2 linked regions of the Rhinolophus ferrumequinum genome follow. The protein of the gene in region 1 purifies or fractionates together with the protein of each later gene. This does not show direct contact. Links are inferred from orthologs where the notes say so. Each region holds a gene or a part of one and is shown in the gene's direction. Other genes may lie near its edges.

Region 1 (16,124 bases):
TCAGCCGGGGGAACGCAAGGCTCCTAATACCAGCATGGGTCAGGGAGCTGTGTCCTATACAACTAGACTGAGAAACAATGGCTTGAACTGGAGAGTGTGTATGTGTGGGGAGGTAGTGGAAGAAGGGGGGGAAAGGAAAAAAAAGTCATAAAGACAAAAAAATAAGTATAATGGTTTTTGCCAGAAGCTGGAGGGAGGGGATAATAGGGAGGTATTGTTTAATAGGAATAGAATTTCAGTTTTATAAGATGTAAAGTGTTTATAGGATGGGTGATGATGATGGTTGCACAACGATTGGAAAGTAAGTGTACAGAACTGTACGCTTAAAAATGGTTAAAAATTTTATATTATGTGTATATTAACACAATAAAAAAAAGAAGAGTCAATTGCTTACCTATATATGAGCAATAGCAAGCGGACTTTGAAATTAAAAACACAATACCATTTATATTAGCATGCACAAAAATGAAATACTAAGGTTTAAATTTAAATATAATAAAATATGTATAATGATTTTATGAGGAAAACTATAAATTCTGATTAAAGAAATCAATGAAAAATTAAATAAATGGAGAGATAGTCTATGTTCATGGATAAGAAGATTCGATATTGTCAAGATGTCAGTTCTTCCCAAATTGATCTATAGATTCAATACAATCCCAATCAAATTACCAGCAAGTTATTTTGTTGATATTGACAAACTGATATTAAATTTTGTATGGAGAGGTAAAAGACAGACTAGCAGACACAATATTACAAGAGGAGAACAAAGAGGATTGACACTATTTGACTTCAAGACTTCCTATAATTAAAAAAAATAGTGCTATTGATGAGAGAATACACAAATAGATCAATGGAATAGAATAAAAAGCCCAGAAATAGACCTACATAAAATAGCCAACTGATCTTTAACCAAGGAGCAAAGGCAATATAATGGAGAAAATGTAGTTTTTTTAACAAATGGTGCTGGAATTACTGGACATTCACATGCAAAAAAAAAAAAAAAAGAATTGAGACAGTCGTACCTGTCATCAATGTTAACTCAAAATGGATCATAGACCTAGGTGTAAAATGCAAAACTATAAAACTCCTAAAAAATAACATAGAAGAAAATCTAGATGACCTTGGGTATGGCAATAACTTTTAGATACAACACCAAAGACACCATCCATGAGAGAAATAATTGATAAGCTGGATTTCATTAAAATGAAAAACTTCTGATCTGTCAAAGACACTGTCAAGAGAATGAGAAGACAAGTTATAGACTGGGAAAAAGAATATCTGGTAAAAGAATATTAGACAAAATATACAAAGAACTCTAAAAGTCCACAATAAGAAAACAAACAACCCAATTAAAAATTGGAAAAAAGACCTGAACAGACACCTCACCAAAGAAGATATACAGATGACAAATAAGCATATGAAAAGATGCCTCATATCCTATGTCATTGGGAATTGCAAATTAAAACAACAGTGAGGTACTACTATATACCTATTAGAATGGCCAAAATCCAGAACGCTGACCACATCAAATGCTAATGTGGAGCAACAGGAATTCTCATTCATTGCTGTTGGGAATGCAAAATGGTAAAACCACTTTGGAAGACAGTTTGACAGATTCTTATAAAACTAAACATACTCTTACCATACAATCCAGCAATTGCACTTTTTGGTATTTACTCAAATTGATTGAAAATTTATGTGCACAGAAAAACCCACACATGGGTATTTATAGCAGCTTTATTCATAATTGGCAAAACTTTTGAAGTAACCAAGATGTCCTTCAGTAGGTGAATGGATAAATAAACTGTGGTGCATCCAAATAATGTAATATTATTGAGCCATAAGAAGAAATGAGCTGTCAAACCATGAAAAGACATGGAAGAACCTTAAGTCCATACTCATATTACTAAGTGAAAGAAGCAATCTGAAAAGGTTATGTACTATATGATTCCAACTATGTGATATTGTGGAAAAGGCAAAACTATGTAAATAATAAAAAGATCAGTGTTTGCCTACGTTTTTGGGGAGGAAGGGGTGAATAAATAGGTCACAGAGGATATTCAGGGCAGTGAACTGTTCTGTATGATACTATCAATAGTAAGTACATGGCATTATACATTTATCAGAATACATAGAATGTACAACACCAAGAGTGAACCCTAGTGTAAACTGTGGACTTTGGGTGATAATGATGTGTCAATGTAGGTTCATTGATTGTAATGAATGTACCACTCTGGTGTGGGATATTGATGGTAGGGGCAGGCTGTGAGGGTGTGAGGACAGCGGTTATATGGGAACTCTCTGTACTTTATGTTCAATTTTTCTGTGAACCTGAAACTTGTAAAAAAAAAAAAAGTCTATTTAATAGAAAAAATTGAAATGTGGTTTTCAGAATACTAGCCCCAGGATCACAGCAGTATATAGAACAGTGGATTTGAAACTGAAAGATATAGTTTGATAATGAGCACACTCTCCTTGCAGACAATACAAGAAACCTAGAACAATTTAATTTTATTCATCAGCCTCCCAATGTATATGTTATTGTTTTGGTGTGTTTTAATTATATCTTAATGTTAAACTCTAGAAGACATTAGTATTGTTTTTTTACTGTCAGTGATCATGTAGGATTTTTACCTATTCTCCACTTCATTCTTTGAAGGTAATCTGTTTCTATGGCTGCTTTTAATTTAATTTTATTTTTATTGTAGTAAAATTTATATGCAATGAAATGTACAGGCCTTATATGTTGTAGGTCAATGAGTTTTGACAAATGCATACATCATATAACTCACACTCTGGATGCTTTTAAGATCTGCTGTTTTTCTCTAATGTTACTAAGTTGCACTGTGATATGTCTATGTTATTTATTCTTCTTGTTATTTATTCTTTAAATTTGTTGGGCCTCTTGAATTTGTGGGTTTGTATCTTTCATTAGTTCTGGGAAATGCTCAAACATTGTTTTTGCTTCATTCTCTTTTACTCCTTCTAGAACTCCAATTAGATTTCTCACTTTACTCTCCGTGTGTCTTATTTTCTCTTTCATATTCCTCTCGTTATTGCTCTGTATTTCATCCTGGATAATTTCTTTAATCTATTTTCTAGTTCATTAATCCTATCTTCAGTTAAACATAAACTGCTCTTTGAGTTTCTGAAGAGAAAATTTAAGTGGAAAACTTCAAATACAATCAAAAGTAAAGTATAATGAATCTCCATGTACTTATTATCTTGCTTCAACTTTTATAAAATATGGTCAATTTTGTTTCCTCTATACCCTTACCACTTCTCCCAGACTCCCACAGAATTATTTTAATGCAAATACCAGACATTATGCCATTTCATTGGTAAATACATAAGTATGTGTCTCTTAGAGAGAAGGACTGTTTTTTATAATATAACATAACATGTGACAATAATACCATTGTTACATCTAGCAAATTTAACATAGCATAACAAATTTAATGTCACATCTAGCAAATTAACAAAGATATCTTAATATCATATAATATCCAGTGTCCAAATTTCCCTCATTGACTCATGAAAGTCTTTTTATAGATGGTTTGATTCAGGATCTAAACGAGATCTATCCACTGCATTTCATTGATATGTTTCATAAATCTCTTAATCGTTAACTATGCTCCTCCCCTTTTTTTCCCCTTGCAATGTATTTATTGAAAAAACTGGGGCATTGATCATGTTTTATTTCTGATTACATCAGAATTACATTCTGGTGGTGTCATTTAACATATTCTCCTATTTCTCCTATTTCCTGTAAACTGGCAGCTATATTTAAAGTTCTGTATTTTTGGCAAGAATCCTTCATAGATAATGCTCTGTACTTCCTATTGTATCCCATCAAGAAACATGTAATTTCTGATTTTTCCTCTTCATGATGTTAAGTTTTATCAGTGTATATACATGATGTCAGCTTGATTCACCTATAAGCCTCTTACCTGATGCTTCTGACAGTTCATTGATGACTATTGTCTAGATCAATTATTTCATTAGGATTGTAAAATGATGACAGTATATCATTCCTTCTACACTTATTAGTTGGAATTCTTCTATGAAGAACAATTGCTTCTTAAACTATTTAGTTACTTTATCCATTCAGTTTTTAATTTAAAACTTTATATTTTTCATTTCTAGAACCTGTATTTTAAATATGTTAGGTCATTTTTATAGTTTGCTGATATATTTTCAAGTTTCTCTTTTAATTCTTTAAGTATAGTAAGCATAATTATTGTATAATTTGTGTCAGATACTTACACTATCTGAAGTCTTTCAGGCTCAGCTTCTGCTATTGTTTCTTCTGGTTCTCTCCATGGCACCTCATCTTCTTTTGTGTTTACCTACTTTTTATTATGAGCTACTAATTTTCCTTGGCAAATGATTTGTAGGAGTTCTTTGGTACCTAGGATGAAGAGACATTTTTTCCAGAGTGGATTTGTGTTTCCGTCTGCCAAGTACCTAGGGCATTATACTCTCTTCCTGGAACCACTTAAATCTAAATTTACAGCTTGAATCTTTTTAGCCACCCAAATGTTGTGAAACTGGACTGCAAATTTCTTTAAGGGCCTACTTGTGGTCACAAATTCCCCTGCTCTGTTTGGCACCAAGGCAACCCTCCTTGCAGTTCCCTGGATATGGGGAACTAGGGGCAGCTTTGCTGCAGGAAGGATCTTCTTTCAGACTCTCCACCTTGAGTGGCCTTCTGTCCCTTCCTTCAGAAAACAACAACAACAACAAGAGAAAACAACACAACAACAAACCTGAATTCTTTAATTTGGCAAATTCCCTTCATGCAAAGGTGACTGCAATGTTTCGAATATACCTCTCTAGTTTTCTGACTTCATTTAGATTTTGGCCGGTTAATTCTTTTTTTGGGGGGGGAGGAAGGGTTACAGGATTTTATTGGGGAACAGTGTGTACTTCCAGGATTTTTTCCAAGTCAAATTGTTGTCCTTTCAATCTTAGTTGTGGAGGGCGCAGCTCAACTCCAGGTCCAGTTGCCGTTGCTAGTTGCAGGGGGCACAGCCCACCATCCCTTGTGGGAGTCCAACCGGCAACCTTGTGGTTGAGAGGACGCGCTCCAACCAACTGAGCCATCCGGGAGCTCAGCGGCAGCTCAGCTCAGGGTGCCGTGTTCAATCTTAGTTGCCCGCGCTCCAACCAACTGAGCCATCTGGCACTGGCACATGTGGGAATCAAACGGGCAGCCCTTGGCGTTAGGAGCACGGAGCTTCAACCGGAGCCACCGGGCCGGCTTGGCCGGTTAATTCTTTACTGTCTTGTTGGCTTTACCATGCTTTTAAGAAGGAAAATACTTACATTTTACTCAGGACTTTCAGTTTTTAGTATGAGGATAACCAACCATATTGAAGAAAACAGAAGACGGTTAGCATTCCTAGCACAAGTTTTTATTTTCTTTAGAATTGCTATCTTTTCCCCTTTCACCTTTCTACATGCTTATCACTTAATATTGCCCCACACTCTCCTCTGCTTATACAAATGTCTTCTCAATAAGTTCAAATGCATTAGGTATTCTATCAATTGTATTTCTTAAATAAATCATTCCCAAATCCTCTGAACTGCTTTAATCTTGATGAATTGATCTTTAGGCCTGCTCTACAATTTGGAATCTCCATTTACTTTTGCTTTGGGGATTCCTTTTGTTTCTTTTCTGTGCTGGATCCCTCATTTCTTGAGGGATCCCTCCATACTGTTCTCTTTTTTGACTTACTGACTTGTCTTGATATAATAAATCCTTTCCAGTCTTTCTGAAAAACAATGCCTAGAGTATCAATATTTTGAGGGTTCACATATCTGAAATTATCTTTATTTTGGACTTACGATTAAATCCATTTGGCTGAATGTAGTATTCTACGTTGGAAATAATTTCCTTCTAAATTTTGAAGGCATTTCTTCATTGTCTTCTCCCTTACGGTGTTGATGAATTGATAAGCCTAACGCTGTTCTGATTTTTGATCTTTGTATGCAACTTGTTCTTTCTCTCTGGAAACTTTGGAATTGTTTCTCTGTGCCTGATGTTTTGATAGTGTATAATGATGTATCTTGGTGTGGGCCTGATTTGTTTTGCTGGATACTTAGTGTGCCCTTTCAATTTAGAGGCTCAGTTCTTCATTTCAGGAGAATACTTTAAAATAATTTCTTTGATTATTTCTTCCCTCTGATTCTCTGTTCTCTTTCCAGGCCTGGAGAGATCCTCTTATTTTTATTAATTTTCTCCTAAAGTAGAGTAATTTGATCTTCAACTTTATCCTCCAGTCTTTCCATTGAATTTTTATTTCTGCTATCATGGTTTTGATTTCCAAGAGTTCTTTTTCCTTATCTGAATTGTAGTTACTTTTTTTTTTTTTAAAGATTTTTATTGGGGAAGGGGAACAGGACTTTATTGGGGAACAGTGTGTACTTCCAGGCCTTTTTTTTCCAAGTCAAGTTGTTGTCCTTTCAGTCTTAGTTGTGGAGGGCACAGCTCAGCTCCAGGTCCAGTTGCCGTTTCCTAGTTGCAGGGGGCACAGCCCACCATCCCTTGCGGGAGTCCAGGAATTGAACTGGCAACCTTGTGGTTGAGAGCCCACAGGCCCCATGTGGAAATCGAACCGGCAGCCTTCGGAGTTAGGAGCATGGAGCTCTAACCGCCTGAACCACCCGGGCTGGCCTGTAGTTACTTTTAAAATAGCTTCCTGTTGTTATGTGGTGGATACAATATATTATCTCTCTGAGGACATTAATGATGGATTTATTTAAGTCTTTTTCTCCCTTGCAATTTTTGTTTCTTCTAAATTTATTTTTTTCTTCTTGCTTGTTTTGCTTTCTTTCTTGTCTTTTTAAAAGACTTTCCCTAACTGTCTAATTATCTTTGGCTGTCTACTTATATTTAAGAGTGAGGACATTATAAAGCTTATTGGAAAAATCGTGTGAGAGCTGGACATGTAGACCAAGGCTTCATTGTAGGATTCCTTCATCTATTTCATTAAGAGGACCCTAATGAGAGTCTCTTTGAGACTTCTCTTTTGGGTTGGTCAGATTCCCCGGAGAAGTTTTCTAGGTACAATCATGCTCATGTTTACCTTTGTTTAGGAATCAATTTCTCAGGTTTGCTAAACCAGTTACCATTCTTACATTTGCTTTCTAACTTCTGAAATGTTGCTGCTGTTGTCTCCTTCTCTTTCTCGTTGGTCTTACAAGGTCTGGAGGATAATTTGTGTATTTGCCTTTCCCTCTCCCCAGTCTTTAACTGGAAGCCCCCATTATTTATTTATGATAATTTTATTGGAGGAAAACATATTGTACAGACAGAATCGTATAGAAAGGTTTTGACACAAATTACCAGATTGCCCTAAAGTTGTATGCATATATGAAAAGAGGAGCGCTTTTATATAATTATTTTGCAACAAGTATTAAGTATCTTTCAGGGGTTTTGCGTGCATCCACCCATTGGCCTCAAGCCTCCACCCGATGGGGACAAACTACAGTGCAAGAAACGACTGAAAAAAAGTAATAAGAAATGATGCGGGTGACAGCTGTGCGAAGACAGAAAACTGCTTAAAAGGGCCCAGCATAGACCACGCCTTTCTGGAAGTGGGAGTGAGTGGGAGGAGGTCTTATCTCGTCGATGGTTGGTTAGCCTCTCGAACCAATTACGAGCAGCGAGTGATTTTGCCAATGGTCGTGATCCACCTCCCCGTGGGCTTTGAAGTCACGTTTACAAATGGGAATAAGGTAGGTGAGAGGGACAGAACATCTAGCCAATGAAATTTTGGGGCGTTAATGGGCGTGGTGAGGCTGCTGCCAGGTTTAGGGCGGAAGGAGTCGTTCTGGATAAGGAGGGGAACGAAAGATGGCGGCAGAAACGCTGCTGTCCAGGCTGTTGGGGCTTCTGCTTTTGGGGCTCCTGTTACCTGCAAGTCTGACCGGCTGTGTCGGGAGCCTGAACCTGGAAGAACTGAGTGAGATGCGTTATGGGATCGAGATCCTGCCGCTGCCTGTCATGGGAGGGCAGGTAAGGAGGCGTAGAGCGGGCAAGGGTCCGGGGCAAGGGGAAGGGGGAAAAGTACAGGAAGAAGGGCAGCTAAGGAGAAAGCCGAAGGAGCGGCGGGAGAATCAGGAAGAGTAGGTAGGAGTTTTACGATGTCTCCTGAGTATCGCAGACTGAGACCCATTCCCTTGGGGCCAGGGACTGGGAGGGGTGGGGCTTCCCGCTGTCAGCTTCAGGTCCTAGTTCCTGATCGAAACCACCCCCCCGACTCCGCCCCTATGGAGCAGTGGGTGTGCCCTCTCCCGTCACCTGCTAAACAAAGCTTTAGGAGGACTTGTGGCTCATTCTGTCTTGACTGGGCTTTCCCCCGGGGTCTGAAGAGGATCTTGTTGTTCTGCCTGATCCTAGGCTCTCTTTGCCTCCCTGTCCACCTATTCTCCCTTCTTTCCCAGAGCCAAGCTTCAGACGTGGTGATTGTCTCCTCTAAGTACAAACAGCGCTATGAATGTCGCCTGCCAGCTGGAGCTATTCACTTCCAGCGTGAAAGGGAGGAGGAGACACCTGCTTACCAAGGGCCTGGGATCCCTGAGTTGTTGAGCCCAATGAAAGATGCTCCCTGCCTGCTGAAGGTGAAAAGGACTGGGATGTATGGAATGAGGGCTTGGGTACTAACTCTATCTGAGAACCAGAGTGCCAGAGAGTAAGGCTGGATAGGGAGGACTTGTCAAAGTTAAGAAGGCCATTGGAGGAGTATACATTGTACAGACAGGAAAGAAACGAAGAATTTTGCAACCACTGGTGACACTTCGCTGAATGTAGAGTAGGGTTAGGATAGAAGATCTCAAAATAAGGGTTAAGCCAAGGGTTGACCCTAAAGAGGGTCAGTGTGGGGTAGGAGGGGCACTCCTCTAGAGAAGCTTTCCTGGTAAAATCACCCCCTGCCCCTATCACTGTCTGCCCCAGTATCCTATTTCATTTTCATCATGGCACTTTTCATGATCTGAAATTATCTTACTAACTGAATCATCAGTGTATTTATTTTTGGTCTAGTCCCAGCACTAAAGGCCATGAGGTCAGAGAATTTTTCTTGTTCATAGCTGTATCCCCAGTGACAGAACAGCACGGGAATGTTGTAGAAGTTAAATTAATATTGTAATATTTTATGTTTCCCTGGTCTTAGTGCTTCAAGGATATCATGATTTCTTATCTTTATGGAGAGCAAAAAGGATTAAAAAATCATTAAAAAGGTAGGCTTAAAAAGCCCACAGGTGGAAAACAGACTTTATAAGTATCTCTCTGAGTCACAGCCCTCCCTCCTTATTGAGAATCTGGCGAATTGAGTGTGGAAGCAGAGGGAGATGAGAAGTAGGTGATAGGTTATGTGTCTTGGAGCCAGGAGAGATTCTGGTTCCAAGAAGAGACATCTGCACTCCATCCCCCTGACTGTTTATTTTTTTATTGTCAGACCAAGGACTGGTGGACATATGAATTCTGTTATGGACGACACATCCAGCAGTATCACATGGAAGGTGACTCACACCTCCATTTTCCCTAAGCCCTTAGCAACCTGTCATGGAAGGTGACCTGCCTTCTCAGTCCTCTTCCCTCCTAGTCCTCTTAGAAGGGAGTAACCATAATTTGCTGTGGTTTCTCTTGCAGATTCAGAGATCAAAGGTGAAGTTCTGTATCTCGGCTACTACCAATCGGCCTTCGACTGGGATGATGAAACAGCCAAGGTGGCAGGAGTGTGGGATTGGGAGAAAAAGGGGTCCTGGCTGCAGATTAAGAGCCCTGAAAAGAAGGGGAGGGTTAGAATTAGCTGTTTCCTGGGGTTTGGTGGCCGTTAGGACAAGGTACTATTCTTGCCTTCTTGCTGTCTTTCTTATCCCACCGCTCCTGCCTGATGTCCTCTCCAGGCTTCCAAGCAGCATCGCCTGAAACGCTACCACAGCCAGACCTATGTCAATGGATCCAAGTGTGACCTCAATGGGAGACCCCGGGAGGCCGAGGTTCGGGTGAGTTTTGAAAGAGGGAAGTTGATACTCCCTCAGTGACATTGCAGATTCTAATAGAAGAGGACAAGGTTGCATTGTACAGTCATGAGGGTCTCTCTCAGACCCTAAACCCAAGTTTAAGACTCTTATTTCTAGTTGCCAGCTGGATATCACTGCTTGGATATTCAGAAACACTTCTAGTCAACATTTCCCAAGTCTTCCCCTCCGAACATCCAACCACACTTATTCTTTTTTTCAATGTTTCTCCTTTCTGTCACCTAATCTAGAAACCTGAAGGTCATTGTTGATCCTTCCTTCTCCTTCACTGTGTTCTCCTTTCTTCAGTAGGTTTTGGGCTCTGCTCTGGGAATAAAGTGGTAGGCAAACACACAGCCCCTGCACTCGTGGAGTGCATAGTCTAGAAAGGAAGACAGATGTTAACAAAAGAACCACAGAAATGAGTCTGTGATTACAAACTGAGGAGTGCTATAAAGGAAAGGGATCTAGTTCTCTCGTAAATGCCAAAGCATGTCCAGTCTATTCTAGATTTCTCTCACAACTTTCTTCTTTCCTATGCTTGGTACCTTCATCTCTCACCTGCATCACTGCCAACAGCCTCTTAACAAGTGTTTCTGGTGCAGTGGTCCTCAATGAGTTCAGGCAGGCAGGCAGATGTATGGTGAGAAAAGTTCCTTAGGTGATTCTAATGTGTGTTCACAAATGTACACACCTGTAGAGAACCACATAACAAGAATTACCTTTCTGTAATACAGATTTGCACATACAATTGTGTGCTGGTAAATGTTGCACATCCACAGCATTAGGGTAGGGTAAGGGGCGTGGAGAGGGGCGTCCTGATTTATAATATTTGCCAATATCCATGTTATAAATATTCCCACCATGGTCAAATTAATGCTATTACCATGATGTCAACTGTCTTGCAACGTTGCTGAAAATTTGCTAGTTGGGTCTTGTGAACTGGTGTGAGCTGGCTCCAACATGATACTATAAGCATGTGTCGCTTCTCCGCCCAGTCCTCGAAAAGTTTTGATGATTCTGCCGTGTTCAGAGGATAAGATCCAAATATTTCAACCGAGACCAGAGTGGTAGCAGTAGAGGTGGTAGGAAGCAGTTGGGATTCTGGATATATTTTGAAGGTAGAGCCAATTAGATTTTATGATGGATTGGCTGTGGGGTAGAGTCAAGTATGACTGCCTGCAGGGTTTTAGCATGAGCAACTGGAAGACTGGAATTGTCATTTAGTAAAGTACGAAGGAACAGGTTTGGAGGAGAAAACTAGGTTGGTGTTGGGCATATGAAGGCCAAGATGCCTATTGGACATCCCAGTGGTGATATGTCGGCAGTAGCTAGCGGCCTGTGTGATTCTGGAGTTCAGGGATGATGTCTGGCCTGGAGACATATGTACTCATTGTGCTTCTGCCCCACTGGCCTTCTTTCTTTCCTTTAACTAGTAGGCCTCATTGTTTCCCTCCATCTTTCCACATGTCTTTGAATGGCTGGCTTAATCCCCTCATTCGGGTTATTCTCGAATATGCCGGTGACACCTCCACAGGGAGACCTGACATAGGCACAGAGATACACACACACACACACACATACACACACACACACACACACACGCATGCACTCTTCTGCCCCCATCCTGGTAAACGCCTCCAGTGTTTTATATTCTTTGAAGCATGTGTCATTTCCTGAAATTATCTTACTCGTTTCAGTGTACGATCTCTCCCTGTCTACCCCACTACAATAAGCTCCGAGAAGTCAGGCACAAGGTCTGCTTTTTTTCTCCTGTGTCCTTAGTACCTGGAACAGTGCCTGGCGCCAAGTAGCTGCCCGGAAATTATTCCTTGAATGAATAAAATGAATGATAAGCCAAGTCAAATATCATTTATTTTATGTGAACTTTCTTGGCTAACCCAGAAGTTAGTTGTGTTAGTTAGTTAGTTCTTCAGCATTTCATATACATACATCCACATCCCCCTGTATCCATGTCTCAGTCCACAGGCTGGGTAGCTTATAGACAATAGAAATTTATTTCTTATATTTCTGGAAGCTGGAAGTTGGAGATCAGGGTGCCAGCATGTCTGAGTAAGGGCCCTCTTCCAGGTCACAGACTTCTTGTTGTATCCTCACATGGTGGAAGGATCTAGGGGGCTCTGTGGGGTCTTTTTTGAAAGGGCACTAATCCCATGCATGAGGCTCCGCCCCCATGACCTAAGCTCCTACCAAAGGCCCCGCCTCCTAATACCGTAACATTGGGGGTTAGGATTTCAACACATGAATTTTAGGGGGACACAAACATTCAGACCGTAGCAACCTATAAGCATCCATACATATAATCTATTATAGCACTTTATTGTATTCTCATTATTTCTTTACCTCTTTGTAACTTCAGTAGACTAAGAACTGAAGGTGAAGACTGTATTTTCCTCACGTCTATTGAACATACAGGCCCTATGCCAAGCGCTATAATAGAAACTGGGGATAAAATGATGACTGAGAGACCAAGTCCTGTTCTCAGGAGAGACATTAAATAAACAGCCACAACAAGTAGGATAAATACTCTGATAGGTGAAATAACTCTGATGAGTGAAGTATCACAGGGGAGCATACAATGAAGGAACTAACCAATTCTAGGTAAAGGAGAGGCCTCTGGGAGAAAGTGATACTTGAACTGCAATGGAAGGAAGAGGAGTTAGTCCAGTAGCTGTAGAGGAGTGGGAAAGAGAAGAGAGCATTCCAGGTGGACGGTATAGTAAATGCACAATGCCAGGAGGCAAGAGGGAATGGCCTATCTCAGGACTTGAGAGCTATTCACAGTGATGGAGAGAGTTGTGGGAAGGTGGTTTGGGAGGTTGTGTGAAGGGAGCTGGGCAGCTGTCCAGAGGGGACAAGTCACAGGTCATGAAGTCTGTAGCTATGTTAATGAGTTTGGACAATCTGAGAAACATGGGGGAACCAATGAAGTATTTTAAGCAAAATGATGACATAGTCAGTTTTGGTGTGGAAGGCTCACTTAGGCTGGAGTATATCACATGATTGGGAAACCAGTTAAGCAGTTGCAGCGATCCAGGTGAGAAAACAAGGGGGCCCAGGGATGAAGAAATGGGAATTTTTTGAGAGATTTAGGGGATGAAATCAATAGAATAAGATTCCCCGATTTCTGGCTTGAGCAACTTGATGGATGGTGATTCTTTTTACTGAGATAGGTTGGGTGGGAAGAGGATTAGGTTGGGTAAAAAATGATCTTGGTTTTGAATAGGATGATTTTAGTGACTATAGGCATCAAGTGCAGATATCTGAACAGGCTGTTGGATCTATGGGTCTGGAGCTCAGGAGAATGATCTGATTTGAACACAGAGGGTTGGGAGTCATCAACATACTGGTTATAATTGGAGTCATGGTACGGATAAAATCCCCCTCCCCCAGGAAACCTTATATAGTGAGAAAGGGGGGCCAGAACTTTGAGGGAGCCATCATTGAAAGCATGGGCAGAGGGGGGCTTTGCCAAGAAGGGCCGGAGAGGAGACTGGTGACATGGAACCCAGGAAGGACCTGTCTCAAGGAGGGACAGGTCCATGGTGTTGGCTGCATCCGAACCTTCAAGGAGTAGGAGAATTAAAAACGGCTTGTATGTAATCATAGGAGTTATTATTTTAATAAAAGCAAAATATGCACACAGAAATAAAAATTCAGACAGCTGGCCTGGGAACCAGAGGAAAATTCGTAAGTCTTCTAGCCCCAGTCACCTCTGCCCAGTCCTTTGTTGGACTTGATGACGGAGGTCATTGGCGATCTTTGCTAGAGCAGTTTCAGTGGGGGTGGTGAAGATGAGGTATGGAGGAAAATGGTGAAGTCTAGATGGAAGGAGAGGGAAAGACAAGCACTAGTGAGGGGCTGTGGGGTCAGGGAGGGTGCTACTCGGTGGTTTTGTGTCTGAACATGGGAGCAGGTGTAAATGTTGGGTGGACCTAGTGGAAAGAAGGCGAGGCTGAGGTACCCGAGAAAGAACAGGAAGAGAACGTGGGCGGTACTGGGATGCAGAACACAGGAAAGCAGTTATCCTGAGGAGTGGGGCTCTAGGGTTGTAACTAGAGTGAGAGGGTGCTATATTTGCTGGGGAGTCTACAGGTTTTAGGAAAAGAAAATTGAGGGAATTCCTGCCTGGTTGCTTCTCTTTTTTAGTTCTCATAGTCTGACCAACCACTCAAGTTCGTTGTCTGTGTGATTGAGTAAATCCCTCGCTCCAGGGCATGCATGGTGAAGTTTCATCTTCCCCACACCTCGATGCCTCGGTAGGAGCTGTGTACATAGTGTTTGGGAAATACATAATTTCTGTGGGGTTTGAGAATGATTCGTTAGCCATCTGGAATTAAATAAGTTTGGATCCCTATCTCAATTCTTATATAAGATTTCAGAGAGATCTAGAATTTTTTTCCTTTTTAATTTTTAATTATGAAACATTTCAAGCGTAGAGAAAGCAATGTCATAGAGACCCATAAATCCACTGCCAAGTTAAACAGATGTTCACATTTTGCCATATTTGCTTCAGATCTGTTTTTTTAATAAAGAATTAAAATGCTAATGATATAGTTGAAGCCCAGCCTCTCATTTCTTCTCTCTCCCACCTCTCCAGAAACAACCCCAACCATCTCCATACTTGCTTTGTACTTTTATTACTGATACACATATCATAGACGATATATTGTTTTGTGTTTTAAAATTATACATCAGTGTTACCAACTTGCTTTTTCATTAATCAGTGTTTTTGCCATTCTGTGGCATTACATGAAAATATCTAGTTCAATGATATTAATGGCTGCATTGTGTTTCATTGTCTATTTAACCATTCCTCTATTGAGAAACAGTTGGGTTTCAACTCTGTGGCTCTTCACACGCAGTCTTGCAATATAGGTTTCATTGTGAATGTGCAAGAATTAGAAGGAGAGTTATTGGGTTACTGGGAGTGCATATTTTATGGGTGAATTTGGTGCATTGCCCATTTTTCAATGTCTTTTTTTTTTACATTTGTTTTTATTATTTTGTTTTATTATTTGTTTTTATTATTAAGCTATGGTAAAATATACATAACATAAAAGTTACCATTTTAACAATTTCTAAGTGTACAATTTAGTTTTATTAAGTGCATTAACAATGTTGTATAACCATTACAACTATCTATGTCCAGAACGTCATTATCCCAAATAGAAACTCTGTGCCCATTAAGTAGTAATATTCCATTTCCTCCTCTCCCAGCATCTGTTCTACTTTCTGTCTCTATGAATTTGCCTGTTCTAGGTACCTCATATAACGGGAATCATATAATATTTATCCTTTTGTGTCTGGCTTATTTCACTTAGCATAATGTTTTCAAGTTTCATCCATGTTATAGCATATATCAGAATTTTACTCCTTTTTATGGCATATTCCTTTCATGGAATATTTAACAATATTTTGTTTATTCATCAGTTGGTAGATGGACAGTCTTTCCATCTTTTGGCTAGTTTGAATAATGCCTAAATGAACATTGGTGTACTAGTATCTGTTTGAGTCCTTTTGGGTATGTACCTAGGAGTGGAGTGTACCTTAGGGTACTTCTAATGTTTAGTTTTTTGATGAATTGCCAAACTGTTTTCCACAGCTGCTGCACTATTTTACATTCCCACTAGCAATCCACAAGGATTCCAGTTTGTCCACACCTCTTCCAACACTTGTTATTTTCCTTTTTCTTTTAATAATGGCCATCCTAATGAGTATGAAGTGATATCTTTTTGTGGGTTTTGATTTGCATTTTCCTAATGACTGATGTTGCAGAGCGTCTTTTCATGTGTTTATTGGCCATTTGCATATCTTCTTTGGAGCAATGTCTATTGAAGTACTTGGCTCATTTTTGAATGGGGATACTTGTTTTCATTGTTGAGTTGTAGGAGTTCTTTGTATATTCTGGATATTAATTGCTTATCAGATACATGATTTGCAAATATTTTCTCCCATTCTGTGGGTTGCTTTTTCATTCTCTTAATGGTATTCTTTATGTACAGAAGTTTTGAATTCTGACAAAGTCTAATTTATGTTTTTTCTTTTATTGCCTGTGCTTTTGTTATACT
Region 2 (16,230 bases), on another chromosome or scaffold:
CACTGAGAAGCGGGCTCATTGTCCCTGGTTACAAAGGCAGAGTAGATGTGATTTCACAGGCACTGAGCTCAGGTGCTAACCTCACGTGCATGCATGTGTGTGTACCTCCATTTTGCATTGTTCGTGGTAATACCCATGTGGATTTCCAGGGATGGTCGCCGACTCTCTGATGCCCCAGCGCCAGACCGCTGCAGCCTTACAAGGCTTTCCCTGCCTAATCCAGGGGTGCCCCAACAGACGCAGTGGATCCACTGGAGCACGGGAAAAAATACTGTACAATTCTATTATTAGTTTTAGCTCCTTCCTAAGATGTCTTATTTGTTTTACTAAGGCCAATGATGCATTGAGGCGGTTGCACAGGTGTATAATTTATAAAGAAATGAGGAAACATAAATTGGAGGTACTATTTTTTGATTCCATTAGTAGATATGCATCAGCTCATTAGGCTGATTGAAACCTTTGCCACACACGTAATTGTGAGTCATGGCTGCTCCCGGTGGAGGAGAACGGTTCCAACCTGCTCTAGCTGACCACATGACCAACGTTCTGAACAGGGTTTGGGTCGGTGCTGATTTGCGTCTGGAAGATGTTCTTTAGATGCAGAAGTATCGGGTTTCCCTACGTCTTTCCTTTTCCATGAGGCTAACAGGATAATCTTGAAATCCAGCCATGGGGGTTTCCATCCCCAGGAGCCCTCCCATGTCCCCTTAGAGGGCACATCCAGGGTGCAAACTGCAAGAGGACCAATGAATGACCAACACAGACCTTCAGCCTCTCCGGGCACCAGGATCAAAGCCACAATATGACATGACCATAAATTACACAACGTTTATGTTGTAATGTACAGACAGAGAAGAAGGAACGCTGCTGACTTTCACGGCAAAACTGGACAAGCCCCTTAAGTTCTCCGAGTGTTGGCTGCTCTCCTGCAGAGCAAGATAATAACAGGCAGTGCCCCTGGCACAGGGTTGTTGTGTGGCTGCAGGGGCCATCTCCTTGGGGACTGTGACCGACACATTGCAGGGGAGGAAAGCTGCTCCTCCAATTGCTCCAGTTTCTACAGGCTTGGGTCATATATTGCCATCCTGTTTGGCCTTCCCCATACCTCTCTGAAGTAGATACAACTTCTATTTTTTTGCTGGGCTCACAGAGAGATTGAGGAACTTTCCTCAGGTCCCACCTAATAAACAACAGACCAGGATTTGAGCCCTGCGCTGGCTGACTTCCCCGGGAAAGCTTTTCCGCCCCATCAGGCTGAGTGACGTCCAAGGGTTAGGGTGGTTGGAGGAAAGCCAAAGACGTGAAAGAGAAATCCCAGGCAAGCCAACTTTTTGGAAGATCCAGATGTCACATACAGCATCCTTCTGTTTGGTTCTAAAGTTAAAAGGAGTCAAAGATGTGCTTTTTCATAATAGCAACCTGTTCTTGTTGTGAAAACATAAACACACAAGAATATACAAAGGACAAAAAGTCCCTCCAACTGGTAAGTGTGCATTCCAGGATAACCACTGGTTTATCTCCTTCCAGAAACTTCTATACATATACTTTAGTTTCTAGATATATAAGCTCTTGCCCTATACAGTTGTTCTTTTACGTCTTCATGTTCAAACCAAACCAAAAAACCAGAAGAGGAAAGGGGAAGAGAAGGGAATCAACATCTGTTGAGTGTCTGTTTTATCTCTGGTCCTTTACATATATTCCCTTATTTTATCCTAACAACCACCCTAAGACTTTGGAACTCTAATCTCCATTTACAGATAAGGATGGATAGTGGAGCCATGAGAGGTTAAGTAACTTGTTCACAGTGACCGAGGCTGCTCTGATTGGCCCATAATCCCATGGTCCACACCATCCCAGGCAGTGTCGGAACCACCATTTTTCCAGAGCTTTTCATACAAGAAAGGGGAGTCTCAGAGTCTCACGAGAGGGTGGTAACATGTCTCTCTGTGTATCTGCCTGTGTGTATGTAAATCGTGTGCCTACAAGCCCCTGAATGTCTCCCCTCCCCCGTGAACCGGAGACTCCAGCCCCTGGGATGGAGAAGGGTACCTCTCCCTTAATCCCACCCCACTACCTCCAGGACCTAGTGGAGTTCCTTAACGGGGCATTTCATACCTGCCTCCCTTTTAGCCCAGTGGAGGCAGGGGAAGAGGGCAGAAGGAGGCCCAGAAAAACACGCATCCTGTTGTTTGCTCAGCACAGACCTTCTTCCCAAAGGCAGTGTTGACTTAGCTATGTTTACCTTGCTTGCCCAACACTCCACAAGGTGAAAACTTGAATTCGAGCCCCTGAGAACTGGTTTAAGTAGAATGGAAATCATTGATTTTTCACTAAATTCCTGGACCATTTTGTTATTTTGTTCCCAGGCATTTCACTGAACTATTTAATTTCCATTTGCTTGTCATTAAAACAACAGCCACACAGCCCCAAGGGTGGAAAAAAACAAGGGAAATGATATTTATTGAGTCAGGCCTTTCGTGATCAGGGTGTCCTATAATCCTCACTGGACCCCCACAATGTCAAGATTATCATCCCCAATCCACAAAGCAGATGGGGTGGCTGGCTCCAGGTTCTCAGCATTTAAAGGCACATCTGGGATTTGAACTGCTTCTCCACTGCTGTCCTGGAAGCCTTCACAGACATGGGCAAGGGGAAGGTGCAGAGGAGAGTGAAGTTCCTTACAAAGTTTAGTGCACGCTACCCTAGGATTAGGCACCGACCCAGGAGAAATGAAAGCAGGTTCACACTAAGACTCGCGCTTGAACGCTCAGAAGCTTTTTTCATGATGGTCAAAGTTGGGAGCATCTAGACATCCATCAACAGATGAACTAATTGTGGTACGTCCTTACAATGGAACTGTACTCAGCAAGAAGCGTGAGCAAGGTGCTGATATAGGCAGCAACTTCCATCAATTTCAACAACAACAACAACATGATTGAACAAAAGAAGCCAGATGCAAAAAAAAAAAAAAAAAAGTACACAGTGTATTTACATGCCCTTCTAGAAGGGGTGAAACTGATCTATGGAGACAGAAGTGAGAGCAGAAGTGACATTCCGGGGAAGATGGGGAGATTGACGGGAAGGAATGTCCTGGGTTGGAAGGATTTGTTCTTTACATCTCAGTCTGAATGGAGGTTACACAGATGTACATAAATGTGAAAATGGATCGAGCTGTGCACTTAGGATTTACGGTTTCACTGCATCTAACTAACACCTCAATAAAAATAAATACATAGAAAGTAAAGGCAGGGAAGCGATGGTGGCACGTACAGGTGGTAACGGTGCAGAGGTGGCGCGATGGGAGGCTTCAGGACAGGTTTTACAGGGTCATCCTATTTATTCTCTTTGAGCCTCGCCTGCAAAATGGGTATCATTAAACCTTCCTCGCAGAGCTGTTGGCAAGATGAGCATTTGTGTTCGCGGGGCCTGGCAGCCCCGTAGCCCCACAGAACGGGTTGCTTTTGCTGGGGGGATGCTGTTTGCAGCTGTAGGGGCGGGGAGATGGCAGGGTCAGCGCCTGGGCAGGGGGCCCAGGAGAAAGGCTGAGCCACAGGGAGACCTAAAGGAGGGGACAGCGGGTGTGATGCCATCCCCTTCCCTCGGTGGCATTTCACTATTCCATCTCAGTCCTCGCTCCATTGTTCTCCCGTGAACGGGTCCCCTTTTCTCAGGGCTGACTGAGGAGGCAGATGGCAGAAGCGGCTTTGGGTGCTGGTGGGAGCCCAGGCTTGGCGAGCAGGAAAACCAGGCTTTAGGTCCTGGCTGTGAGGGGCAAGATCATATGACGGCTTCCAGCTCAAACAGACGAAACAACCGTTTGTTAATTAGGAAGTTGCATGCCCCATACACATTTTTACATTCTAAAGCTTTTCACGCTTTCACCCTGGCAAGACACTTGAACCTTCTGCCAAAGACATGCTCCATTTGTACTCTGTTTCATTCCTTTTAACTCATCAAGCACCTGCGGAGCACCTGTTCTGTGCCCAGCGCAGTCAGAGAGCTGGGGAAAGCCCGGCCCTGCCCTCAGGTGAGTGCAGTCTGGGGTTAGAGCCGAGCTCTGGGGCTCCATGCCCCTGCCCTCTGTCACGTGGCCTGATTGACATCTCCCCTCCGCCACCCACCAGCTCCATGACCTAGAGCTAGTTGCTTGGCGTCTATGAGCATCAGTTTCTGCGAAATGGAAATAACAAAAGCACCCACCCTGTAGGCCTATTGTGAGGATGAGAAGAATTAATCTCTCTTAAGTGCTTAGATTGGTGTCTGGCGGGCGCTACTGCTCAGTCATTGTCACCTGTTACCGTAAGTGTCCTAAAGGGATATGTACAAAGTGCCAAGGAAGCAGCAGGAGGGAGACCTAACCCAGCAAGGCCAGGCTGTGGCCAAGGGGATCAGGACGGGGCCATGAGTTTGTCCTGGGCCTGGAGGTGGGGGACACACTGAGTCCGCCATGTGAAGAGAAAGGGGAAGGTGCTTCCATCTTGGGACAGAGAGAAGCCTGCACAAAAGCTGGCAGCCAAGGAGGCAGTGGTGTGATAGACAAATGGAGGTGGTGAATGTGACTGTCACCTCAGGCAGGGACCAGCAACTTTGTTCTGAAAAGCCCAGATAGTAAATATTTTCAGCGTTGCAGGCCACAGCGTCGTTGTCACAATGACTCAACTCTACCACCGTAGCATGAAAGCAGCCATGGGCAATAAATGAACAGGCATGACTAGGCTCCCAGAAAACCTTACATGTGGACACTGAAAACTGAATTTCATATAATTTCCTTGTGTTACAAAACATTATGCTTCTTTTGATTTTTTTTTTGTCTCAACCATTTAAAAAACGTAGAAACCATTCTCGACTTGCCGACCTTACAAAACAGGCAGCAGGTCGGATGGGCCTGCGTTGTGAGCATCTCGCTAACTCTCTGTGCCTCAGTTTCCTCCTCATCTGTACTAAGGGGGTATTAATGGCACCCACTGAATGCCATTCAAACAGCGCCTGGCAAACAGATAGTATGTGCTCAAGAAATATTAGCTATGATGCAGATAGGCCACTCAGTGGAGTCAGTTTGGGGATTTGTATTGCAAAACGAAAGCAGTGAGAGACTCGTTAAAACCAAGCAAACAGAAATGCTTAAAATCAACAGGAAAAACAACAAGGTGGATCGAACCATTGCAACCCAAGGTCCGAGTTGGGCAAGTTTTAAGAGCCCTATTGCTCTCTATTATCTGAGCCACCCACGTAGGGCTTCTATTTCTGAAAAACAAGTCCCAAGGTCCTTGGGGGGTCTCCCACAGCTCCCCAGAGGGTCGTTGATGCCATGTCTTGGGACAGGAGAAAATGCAGATGGGCCTGGGACACATGTCATTGCTAGAAAACAAGCGTGTGCTTTCTGAAATGTCAGCAAAGATTGCTGAAAGGTGAAAGAGATAAAGGATCTCCTATTCATCAAAATATGACAACTTGAGCTTCTAAAAGGAAATATCAGAACTAGTTAAATAGGACAAGGTCAGTCTCCTAAAAATTGAAAGTCCATAATGGCCACAATGGCCCATAAATTCAAAGGGGTAAAATTAAAGTGTAGAAAAGGTTAGCTTTATAATAAAAACATTAGTGCTTTTTTTTTTAATTTTAACAAGTAGAGGATGAAGCTAGAGATGCGTTCTATTCCTTCTATTAACTATAATGTCGCTTCCAGTGCATAGATTTGTCTTCTTATTCGCTGAGTAAGGATGAGGAATGAAGACAACACGCTGTGAATTAGCCAAATAGTTCAGAAAAAGCAAGAATCAAACCACACACAGGAAGTGGCTCCAGAAGAAAGAGGAAGGAAACAGGGCCCACTAGGGGGATGCAAGTTGCAAGATTTGCAACAAGTCACGAGAAGATGAACCAGTGGTGCAACTTCAATTCATCACCTGGAAGTTAAAAGCTAGAACCTTTGACTAACGAGCTATGAGAAGACAGACAGTGTCGGTTATGCGAAAAGAGCAGGCCTGGTGTTAAACACTTCACAAGCATCCCCTCATAAGAACTCTAAGAGAAAGACTCATATTATCCCCATTTTACAGATGTGAAAGCTGAGGCTCAGAGAGATGAAAGGAAGTCCTCCTCTGAATCCAAGTTGGCCCGGCTCCATCCACCCCATGCCCAGTTCGGCCCTCTGGACCTCACACATGCTCAGAAAGATGCAATTGCACCTGGGCCTGTGCAAGCTCTTGGTCCCGGGACAAAGAGTGCTGCCCCCCAAATCTTCCTCCTGCTCAGTCCCCTGAGACCCGTTTGAAAGGCTTCCCAGGCCCAGGACACATTCCCAAAGAGCATACCGTGGTTGGCATTGACTTCGGGCCCATCTGTGCCTGAGGCCGCCCTAACTCTCGTCATCTCATTGACTCTTTGCAGTCCTGGTAGAAGTAACCATTCTTCTCACAGATGAGAAAACTGAGGCCCAGAGAGCTAACGAGGCTAAGACCTCACAAAAAGAGAGTGGTGGAGTTAAGGATTGAACTCAGGTGCTTAGCAACCAAGTCCACACCTGCCCCATACTGCCCCCTGAAGAAGAGAGCCAGTGCCTGGAGGGGCAATCCCATAATGAGCATGGGGGATCCAAGAGTGGGGGTACATGTGGCATATCTGTGTGTGTGCATGGGACAGATTGGCTCCCGCACTCCCCAGGGAAGTCTGCCAATGGGTACAGCACCCCTAAAGTTCACCATCGCTCTCCTGACCAGTCCAGGTCTCTGGTCCCTGATGTGCTTAGTCCAGGGCCCCTCGCACATTTCTCCCCTCTCTTCCTGTTGCAGAGCTCACGCCTCAGCTATCAGGTTTCTCTCCCTCCTACTCCCCTCTCTAGGCAGGACCTATGGAGGGGAAGGGTGTCCCCAGGTTCCCATTATTTACAACCAGCCTACAGGATCTTCCTCTGATGCATTCACTCCTAGGGAATTATTCCAGACGTTGCAATTGACGATTCCAGAAGTAACCGAGGGGACAAGACATTTCCTACCATGCTTTGTGGTTCATGGGACACAGTGGCTTCAAGAATGGCCACTGGGTTCCCCCACCCCAGGAATTTTGTGCCTTCTCGGTTCCCAGATCCTCTCACCCCCTTCTTCCCAGGACGTGTCCAGGAGACCTCTCTGCAGAGGAACGGGGAGTGAGGGAGTGTGAGGATGAGGGTAAGGAGGGGCTGAGCATAGAGCCCTTGACTCAAAAGGGACAACCCTGAGCCCCTCACTTTCTCCAACTCCTCCCGCCCCCTCATCTTTCTTCATTCCTCCTCCAATGTTCTGCACTCCCGGTGATGTCTTGCATCCCTTCTGTACCCAGCCAGGGTCTGGGACACACACAGACCCCTCGCAGCCTCCATGGGGCTCCCATTGGGCAATTCAGAGGTGGCTCATCCTCTTCTCTCTACAGCTGGCCCTGGAAATCTGCCAAGATGCTGGTGCCAGGCCCTGGGCAGGAGGGGGATGCCTGTCATCCCCATTAATCCTCTGAACTGGGTGCCACCATCCCTCTTGCAGAGGAACTAGGTGACTTGTCCTGGGTCACATAGGCCAAACAGAGCAGGAATAGCAGGTGACACACAGGACTGCCCGGGCAGGGAAGGGTCACCTGATAGCTATTGGCAGCTTTGTGCAAGGCAGCTTCCTGCCCCAGTTCCCCGCCCCTCCCAGACCTACTGCCCCCACCGGCCACTCCTTCCTCCTAGGCGGCAGAGACTGGGCACTGTGCTTGGGGCACGTGTGGCCTGCGTGCTGCAGCCCTCAGCACCCCAAAGCTCCAGAGGAAGAGGAGGAAGAGCAGGAGGTTGGGGCGACAAGAGGCGTGGCCACCACAGCACTCGGAATCGGAGGTAGAGGGAGGACAGCCCTCCTCTCAGTCCCCAGGCCACTGGGCTGAGGGGGCCGAACTTGGCCATAGCCTGGACAGTGGGGTGCTTGCTGTTGTCCATCCAGTGCGAGCGGTGGGAGGGGTAGACAAGCTTGGAGAAAGGCCAATGTACAGATGGGGAAATTGAGGCACAAGGAGGAGAAGAAATGCCCAAGAGGTGTGGAGGGTGGCCTCACCTCAGCCACAGCCTAGCTCTCTAAGCTACAAATAGATGTAGAGCTGTGGGGGAGACGCCCATTCAGCCAGCTCAGGGGGAAGAGTTGGGGCCCTGAAACCAGATTGTGGAACTGGGCAGTCGGGAGGGGATGGACCTCTCATGCAGTCGCTCAGTGCAGTACACTGTGAGGGGGTGTGCACCACCCCCATGCAGGAGCAGAAACGAGCTCAGAGAGGGACGGCTCCCCTCCCTCACGCCCTCCGCTGGGAGACCCCCTGGCACTGGGGGGTGGGGTGGGCGTCCTGTGCACACCAACACTGGGCTCTGAGCTCATTTTGAGCTGCTGCATTTAATCCTCATAGCAGCTCGACAAAGTTAGTACTGTCGTGATCCCATCATACAGATGGGGAAACTGAGGCACAGGGAGGTTAAACAGCTTACCCGAGATCTCATGGCCCATGAGTGGGGAGCCGGTTCCCTGGTCTGAACCTGTGTGCTAGACGAACCTGCAGGTCACTCACCTGGCAGAGTTCCACAACTGAGAAGGGAGACAAAAATGTACTCACCCATGCAGTCATTCAACAAATACCTGTGGAGTACACACTATGTCTCAAGCAGGTGTGGGTGTGGGGAGGGGGTACAGAGTGCGATGTGGTCTGCCTTAGGTTTTTAAAGGGATCGCAGTCAAGTGGGGCCCTACTGGCCTCAACCCTGCACCATCACCCCCGACCTCCACCAGGGCCCCTAAGGGCCTGCAATAGAGCTGGACCGGGGCCACATTCCTGAGGAAAATTCCAGCAGTATGTGGATCGCACTGGTCTGCCAGGAGCCACATCCAGCGGAAATAGACAGGTCTGAGCCTGGCGGGGAGTTGAGCCTCCTCTTGCCCAGAGAAGCATGGAGAGCAGGGCTTCCAGAGGGTTGTGTAGACCAAAATAAAGAGCCTACTGTGGCACTTTACATAAGCCATTTTGTGTATCCCTGACAACCATGGTACCGTAGGAAGTAGGACTTCCAAACCCTGGTGGTGCAGGTGAAAACACCCTCTGGTTCAGAGAGGTAAAGCAGTGTGCCTAAAGCAGCACAGCTCTTCTTTCTAAATGTACTCTCTGACCCCTGACCTGTGCCCACGGCCACCCAGCCTAAAATGGCTACGTCCCCGTCAATCAGACCCCCCGTTTCAACTCAAGGAAGTTGAGTGAGGTTTTGTATCTGACTTGGAATGAATAGCCTGTGTGTTATGGGCCTCAGTTTCCCTGTCTGACAAGTGGGCACATCACCCATTGCAGCCGCCACCCCTCAGCCCCCCCACACACATACCCACTGCTCATGGCAGCAGTGCGTCAGCAGCAGCAGGTATTTCAAGGCTGCTCAGTAAATGGCAGCTCTCGCTACCAATAAGGCAGCCATGGAGAACTCCCCAGTGCAAATGTAGGGCCAGGACAGTAATGTTGTCCCAAAGTGCCTGACTCACGCCACCCCCACCTTGGATGCAGGATGCCGCGATTTACGAGCGGGACAATGATTCCCTTTGGTCTGTGGAGAACGGGCTGTGCGCTGTCCAGGGAGAGCACATACAGGCAGCGTGGGCGGGCAGCTCATTGTCAGGAGGACGGACTTAGGCCCTGTTTGCTCCTCCGATAACTGGGTTGACCTTGGTTAATGTTCACCAGCAGCCTCCCCCATCGCGCCTCTGGGTCCACTGCTTAAATACAGACGAGGACAGGGCTCTGTCTCCTCAGCCTTGGTCACCAGCCCCGGCCCAGGACAGTGAATCGTAAGTACGTATGCCTTCTGCTGGGGAGAGTCTCCGGAGGGGGCTTCGGGGTCCCTGCATACCCAGGCAGCACCCCACCGTCACCCCCGCCAGAGATGTATGGAAAGTGGAGTGGGGTGGGGGGGGCTCCTGTCGTCATAGCAATAGCATCCTTGAAGATCTTCTCCTGCTCCCCAGAGCCTGCCCAGGGCCTCCCCAGTACCTACTGGTGAATAAACTGGCCCTCGATAAGCAGAAGTGGAGGTGGCTGTGGATAAGCAGGCTGTGGTGTCCTGGGACCCAGGAAGGAGCATGTTTCTGTTGGCAGAGCTGCACCCTTCCTGCCAGTCATCTCCAGTAGGCCTCCCCTCCCCTACTGCTTGGCTGGGTATCTTTTCCTGTGCTACAGATGAGGAAATTAAGGCCCAGAGAGGGACAGTGGGAAGCCCAGGCTACTGAGGGGAACTGGTGGGGAGGCCAGTCCAGACTAGAAGCCCAGAGTCCCAGCTGCTCATCGGGCCTCCATCCTCTGCAGAAATGCTCAGAACGGAGCTGTGCCAGGCTTCAGCCTGGAGGGATCAAAATGGGCCTCCCTGTGCACTGGCCCTGGGTGTCCTCATGCACAGAGCAAGATGGGAAACGCTGGGAGGGGCACCATCATGGGGGCGCCGAGCGGTGTTCCTGAGCCCTCCCTCTGACCAGGTGGCTGCTAGGCTTCTTGTAAGCAGTCCCACATTTAAGCCCCACAACAACCTTCTGAAGTAGTTACCGTGGTTACTCCCATTTTATAGATGAGGATAGAGAAGTTTATAACTTGCCCCAAATTACAGACCATCCAGGATTCAAACTCGGGGCACTTAGCTCCAGCACTCATACTCCTGATCCACTTCTTACTGCGAACATTAATTCTCTGGGGCCTTGGGCGCCATTTGGGACGCGGGAAGCCCGGGCTGGCCTCGGGCCTCACTGGTGCTGGGCGGTCTCAACTTCTCTTTCCTCTTAGGCAATAGATAGATAACCTTTGCCCTCTTTCTTCTCACCCCAACCCACTGGCCTTGACCTCTGGAGTGTTGAAGGATATGATTTCTTTTTTCTGTCATTGGATTTTGGAGCTAGTGCTACAAAGATGACCATAGCCAAGGCAATTGGACTCCCATATAGTGCTCTGAAAGACCCACAACGAAATCAATATCAACTGATGCTTCCTGAGAGCTGACTGTGTGCCAGGCATTTCTTGGCACTTTGCGCATATTTAAATTGCACAATAACTCTATGAGGAAGTACACCCTTATCATTTCCAGAAAACTGAGGTTCAGAGAGGTTAAGTAACTTATCCAACATCACACAGCTGATAGCACGTGGAACACGAGCATTCTGGCCTCGTAGCCTCTGAGCTTAGCCACAAAGCAATGCTGCTCCTCTTGATTTAGCCAGGACACCTCTGCATTTTTCTGTTTCAAGGCTTCTGGCTTCAGCTTGATACATAGAGAAAGGCTGAAAGCCAGGTTCTGAAATTGAAATGCCTAGGGTTCAATCCCAGCTCTGTAAGCAACTAGCTCCATGGTTTTCAGTAAGTTACTTAACCTCTGTAGGCCTCAATTTCTCCATCTAGAAAACGGGGCTAATAATAATTCCCACCCAAAAGGGTAAGCTTTGAAGGAAGATTAGATGAAACAGTGCATATCAAGTACCAGATATTTGCGAAGTGTGATGATGACGACAGTGATGTGATGTTTGCCGTGCATAGCGTTTGGCAGCTAATAGGCAATAAATAAATATTTAGAGGATTGAATTTAAAATTTTCCAAACTCAAAGGTGGTTCATTGCTGAGCAGGGGCTCCTTCTCTGGTCCTGGGCAATGTGGTAACTGGCCAGGAAGAAATCTGCCAGTTCTCAAGCGTGGTCCCTGCCTGTATGCAGGTATAGGGAGGCTGCCATACCTGGTAGGTGCCATCACCTTGTTTGTTTCTCACAACTGCCCTGTAAGAGATTCTTTTCTCCACTTTACAAACAGGAAGATGAGGCTCAAAAAAGTGAAGTCACTTGCCCAAGGCACTTGCCTGTAAGTGGCAGAGCTGGGTCACACCTGGGCTTATTAAATGCCAGGTTTCAGCAGGTTGTGACCTCATGCACAGTTGTTTCCCTGAAACCCACTAGGTCACCGTCAGCCACTCGTTTCATGCTTCTGGGTGGACACGGTATGAGATTAGCCAAAAGGGATGGTTCCCTTCATTCTACCCTACCTGCTACAGACTCTGGAAACATCATCATGATGTCTTCATTCCTTTGCTTCATTCCTTTGGTCCATACACCTCCGGATGCCTCACTTCTACTTTCTCATCTTGGGGTGGCTTCCCTGGCACTAGGCTTTGGGGAGGGTGTGGGGTGCTGCCTTTGACAGAAGGGCGAGGAGAGAGCAGAAATCTTGGGCCCCCAAAGTTGTAAGAAACAGATTGGGAGGCAAAATAAAGCCAACAGGAGGCTGAAGGTCAGGGTCCCTTAGGGCCCAATGCTGACAATCGTAGAATCTGAGACCTGAGGACATGGCTGTCTCAGTCTGTAGTTCAAGTGGCGAGAAAACCAAGGCTTGTTCCAGCTTTGTCACTGCCTCACTGTGTGGCCTTGGCAAGGCCCTGACCGGCTTTGGGCTTCACACCCCTTACTGTAGAGGGAGGAAGCCGGAGCGGGTGATCTAACACCCAGGAAGATGGACTGGGGGCAACAAGCGCTCGCCCAGTTGTAGCCGCTCTCCACCTCAGCCTCACGGCAGGCTTGCCACCTTCTAAGTGAGAGGGCACCTCACCACATCCTTCCCCATGGGACGTCCCAGTCCAGTTTGTGCCACCTAACCTGGCTGCCCCTCTCATAAAGCATCCAACGTTAGTGCCCAGGACTTCAGTTAGGTCTATCCCCACCTTGATTTATCACATGGAGAGAAAATGCCCCAGGACAAGAAGATGTTTACCCAAGTCCAAGTGGACAGCAGTGGCCTTGTCAGGGCTAGAAGCCACAGCCTCTGGCCCTGAGGTCTTTTGGCATATTTCGTGTCCCCACCCTGCCAAGGTCCTAATCCCTCCTGAACTCTGGGTCCTGCCTGGAAAGATGGGGAATTTCCATGAACTCTGAAGGACCACACCTAAGATCTCTGATCTCTCCTGATCTCTGGGTCCTGCCTACAAAGATGGGGAATTTCCATGAATTCTGAAGGACCACACCCACTAGAGGAAGTCAAAAGAAACCTGAGGCAGATGGAAACATACAGAACTAATTTTAGTAAGATTCAGCTCTAAAACCACAGGCTAGTTCAAGAAAAATATAAACACATATTATGTAATGCATGGTCTGCTTTGTTTGGATTATTTAGAGGCATGAATGCTAGAAAGAAGGTGGTGGGAAGAGACCAGTTTGGTGCTTCTTTTTGTTGTTTTATTGGAAAAAAAACTTTTAAAAGTCCAAGGGAATAGATGAAAGCCAGCCTTTCTTATTTCCAACTTTTTCCACTCAGGTTTTTATGTGCCCAATTCAAGGACTCTTTTGTCTCTGTATTTTATAAAATGATGGTTTTAGTTATGTGAGGCATACCTAGCGACGAGGGATGATCAAAAGATATGGTGAATGTTTAAATTTTTAAAAATGTATTACAGTAAAAGACACATTGCCATTAATTCCCCTCAAAATACTCTCCTTCGCATCAAGCACACTTATCCCACCATTCTCACCACTTTCTGAAGCAGTTCTGGAAGTCCTCTTCCGTGAGTGTCTTTATTTCATTCTCCATCAGACAGTGGTCCGTGTCACATATCGCTTCTGGTATGGAAATTTCTGTCAAATAAAAACATTACAGTGTGTCCTCATCCACCTTATTCAGTGGACCTGGCACCATGTGATTTCTGGCTCTTACCCAAAGTCAAAATGACCATGAAAGGGAAACGTTTTGAATTGATTCAGAACATGGAGGCAGCCACGACAGTGCAAGTAAAGACACTCACGAAAGAGGACTTCCAGAACTGCTTCAGAAAGTGGCGAGGACGATGGGATACATGTCTTCAAAGCGGGGGGGAGGTATTTTGAGGAGGACTAATGGTAATGTCCATTACTGTAATATTTCTTTTAAATTAGTTTCAGGTGTGTAACACAATGTACTAGTTAGACATTTATACCCCTCACAAAGTGATAACCCTCCTCCCCCAGTCTACTACCCCTCTGTCATCGTACATAGCTGTTACAGTTCCACTGACTCTATTCCTTATGCTGTATTCCATGTCCCGTGACTATAAATATATAAAATTATAGTTGATATTCATTATTATTCAGCTTCAGCTTCAGGTGTACAGTACAGTGGCCAGGCATCTACACCATCCATGAAGCGGTGTCCCCAATAAGACAAGTGTCCATCGAATACCCTACAGAATCTTTACCACATTATTGATTCTATTCCCCCAAAGTAATATATTTTTGTTTATTTCAACATTCACCATATTGTTTGATCACACCTCATAGGCGGCCACAGACACACCTTCCTCTGCTTGCATCTCAACATCCACGAGCAGAGCAGGCTGCGCTTGGGGGCTGCAGACAGGCGCTGGGGATATCTGGAGTGAGGGAGCTCTGTGGGGCAAGGAGGGATCTGCGTCGCTGCTGTGACAGTGACCATCCCTAAATAGAATCTGCGCCTGCTGGGTCAGCCACAGGCCTTGCCCCTCCCACCTGTCTGGCCCCACACTCACCCCCCAGCCATGGATCACATTTCCCTCCCCTGCCTGTCCTCTGAAGGCTTCTACTTTGCACCCCCGACTAGCCTCTCCTTCATCCAGCTGCTCTCTCAGAGCCCTCAATGTAAGACTTGATGTCTATACTAATTTCATTAAGTTCTCCTAACAACCTCACTCTGTACATGAGGCTAAGTGAGGGCCAGAGTGACTAAATGATCTGTACCGAGGAACCAGGTCTGTGTGAAGAGAAAAAAGATGCTATTTCAATAACTACCCCTCTCCAAACACACAGAAGCCCCTGCTACACGAGAAAGACGCGCGTCTCAAACACCCAGTCCTTGCTGAGCCCAGAGCTGGGACACACACAGGTGGTGACCGGGATAAGCAGCTAAGCTGACTGCAGGGACGACACCCCATTCATATGGCCGAGATCACAGACTCATTGTGAGGGCAGCCCTCTGGCCGTAAGGGCTGAGGCTCACGTGACTGTCCACGGGACACAACCCCCCACCCCAACCCTGAGTATCCTCAAAGCTCCGCTGTGTTCTGGTTGTATGTCCTTGTGTAAGATCCTCCCCTCTGGGCAGTAGCCTCTCTGTCCACCAAATAACAGGGTTCGATGGCAGTGCTCCTAGGGCTGTTCCAGATCCAATCATCCCCACGTCTAATCTGGCCACTTCCTGAGTATCGTGTGCATGTACCTTATGCTTGCTGTTCTTCAGTTACCCTTTTTGTAAAACAGGAGCTTTGGCACTTGCACCTCAGGGCCATTGCAAATGTTAGTGGGGACATTGAGAGTGTGAATTCCAGACCCAGACGATCTGGGTGTGATTCTGGTGGGAGTCTTCCAATGATGCTGACGTAGGCAAAGGCTTGGCATAGGGTTGGCACATAGTAGATGCTTAATAAACTCTGGATGCTTTTCATGGTGTTAATCGGTGTCCAGGGGGACTCACCACATGCCTGACTTGGGTATGGGGCCCCTTCTCCTCTTGCAGGACAATGCCATCCTCCATCACGTGGGGCCTCCTCCTGCTGGCAGGCCTGTGCTGCCTGGTCCCTGGCTCCCTGGCTGAGGGTCTCCAGGGCGACGGTGTCCAGGAGACTAATGCATCCAAGCTCTGTGACCAGCCGGCCAGCCACAGGATTGCCCCGAACCTGGCAGACTTCGCTTTCAGCCTCTACCGCCTGGTGGCCCATCAGTCCAAGTCCAACATCTTCTTCTCCCCAGTGAGCATCGCTGCAGCCTTGGCAGTGCTCTCCCTGGGGACCAAGGGGGAAACTCACACCCAGATCCTGGAGGGTCTAGGTTTCAACCTCACCGAGAGAGCAGAGGCCGATATCCACGAAGGCTTCCAGAATCTCCTCCACACCCTCAACCAGCCAGACAACCAGCTGCAGCTGACCACCGGTAATGGCTTGTTCATCAGCGAGAAGGCGAAGCTAGTGGATAAGTTTTTGGAGGACATCAAGAAACTGTACCACTCAGAAGCCTTCTCCATCAACTTCCAGGATTCCGAGGCAGCCAAGAAACGGATCAACGATTATGTAGAGAAGGGCACCCAAGGAAAAATTGTGGATCTGGTCACAGAGCTTGACAAAAACACAGTTTTTGCCCTGGTGAATTACATCTTCTTTAGAGGTAGGTTGCACCACTAGCCAGAGCTTGTTCCCATGGAAACATCCCCAAATATTCTCAGTCAGTTCTTAAACTTTCCTTG

What was found.
Region 2: the proteins of OS9 (region 1) and SERPINA1 purify together in Homo sapiens (affinity purification with western blotting; 4 studies listed by BioGRID). This does not show direct contact. The link is inferred for Rhinolophus ferrumequinum from reciprocal best matches to the Homo sapiens genes OS9 and SERPINA1.

The regions. Positions count from the first base shown.
Region 1 is NC_046293.1:56,595,410-56,611,533, forward strand, and holds the start of OS9 (protein OS-9), read left to right. Parts: upstream 1-7,822; 5' UTR 7,823-7,864; coding exon 7,865-8,026; intron 8,027-8,454; coding exon 8,455-8,631; intron 8,632-9,467; coding exon 9,468-9,531; intron 9,532-9,661; coding exon 9,662-9,738; intron 9,739-9,918; coding exon 9,919-10,017; intron 10,018-16,124. UniProt on the Homo sapiens protein: Lectin component of the HRD1 complex, which functions in endoplasmic reticulum (ER) quality control and ER-associated degradation (ERAD).
Region 2 is NC_046289.1:8,773,683-8,789,912, forward strand, and holds the start of SERPINA1 (alpha-1-antitrypsin), read left to right. Parts: upstream 1-9,714; 5' UTR 9,715-9,822; intron 9,823-15,507; 5' UTR 15,508-15,511; coding exon 15,512-16,151; intron 16,152-16,230.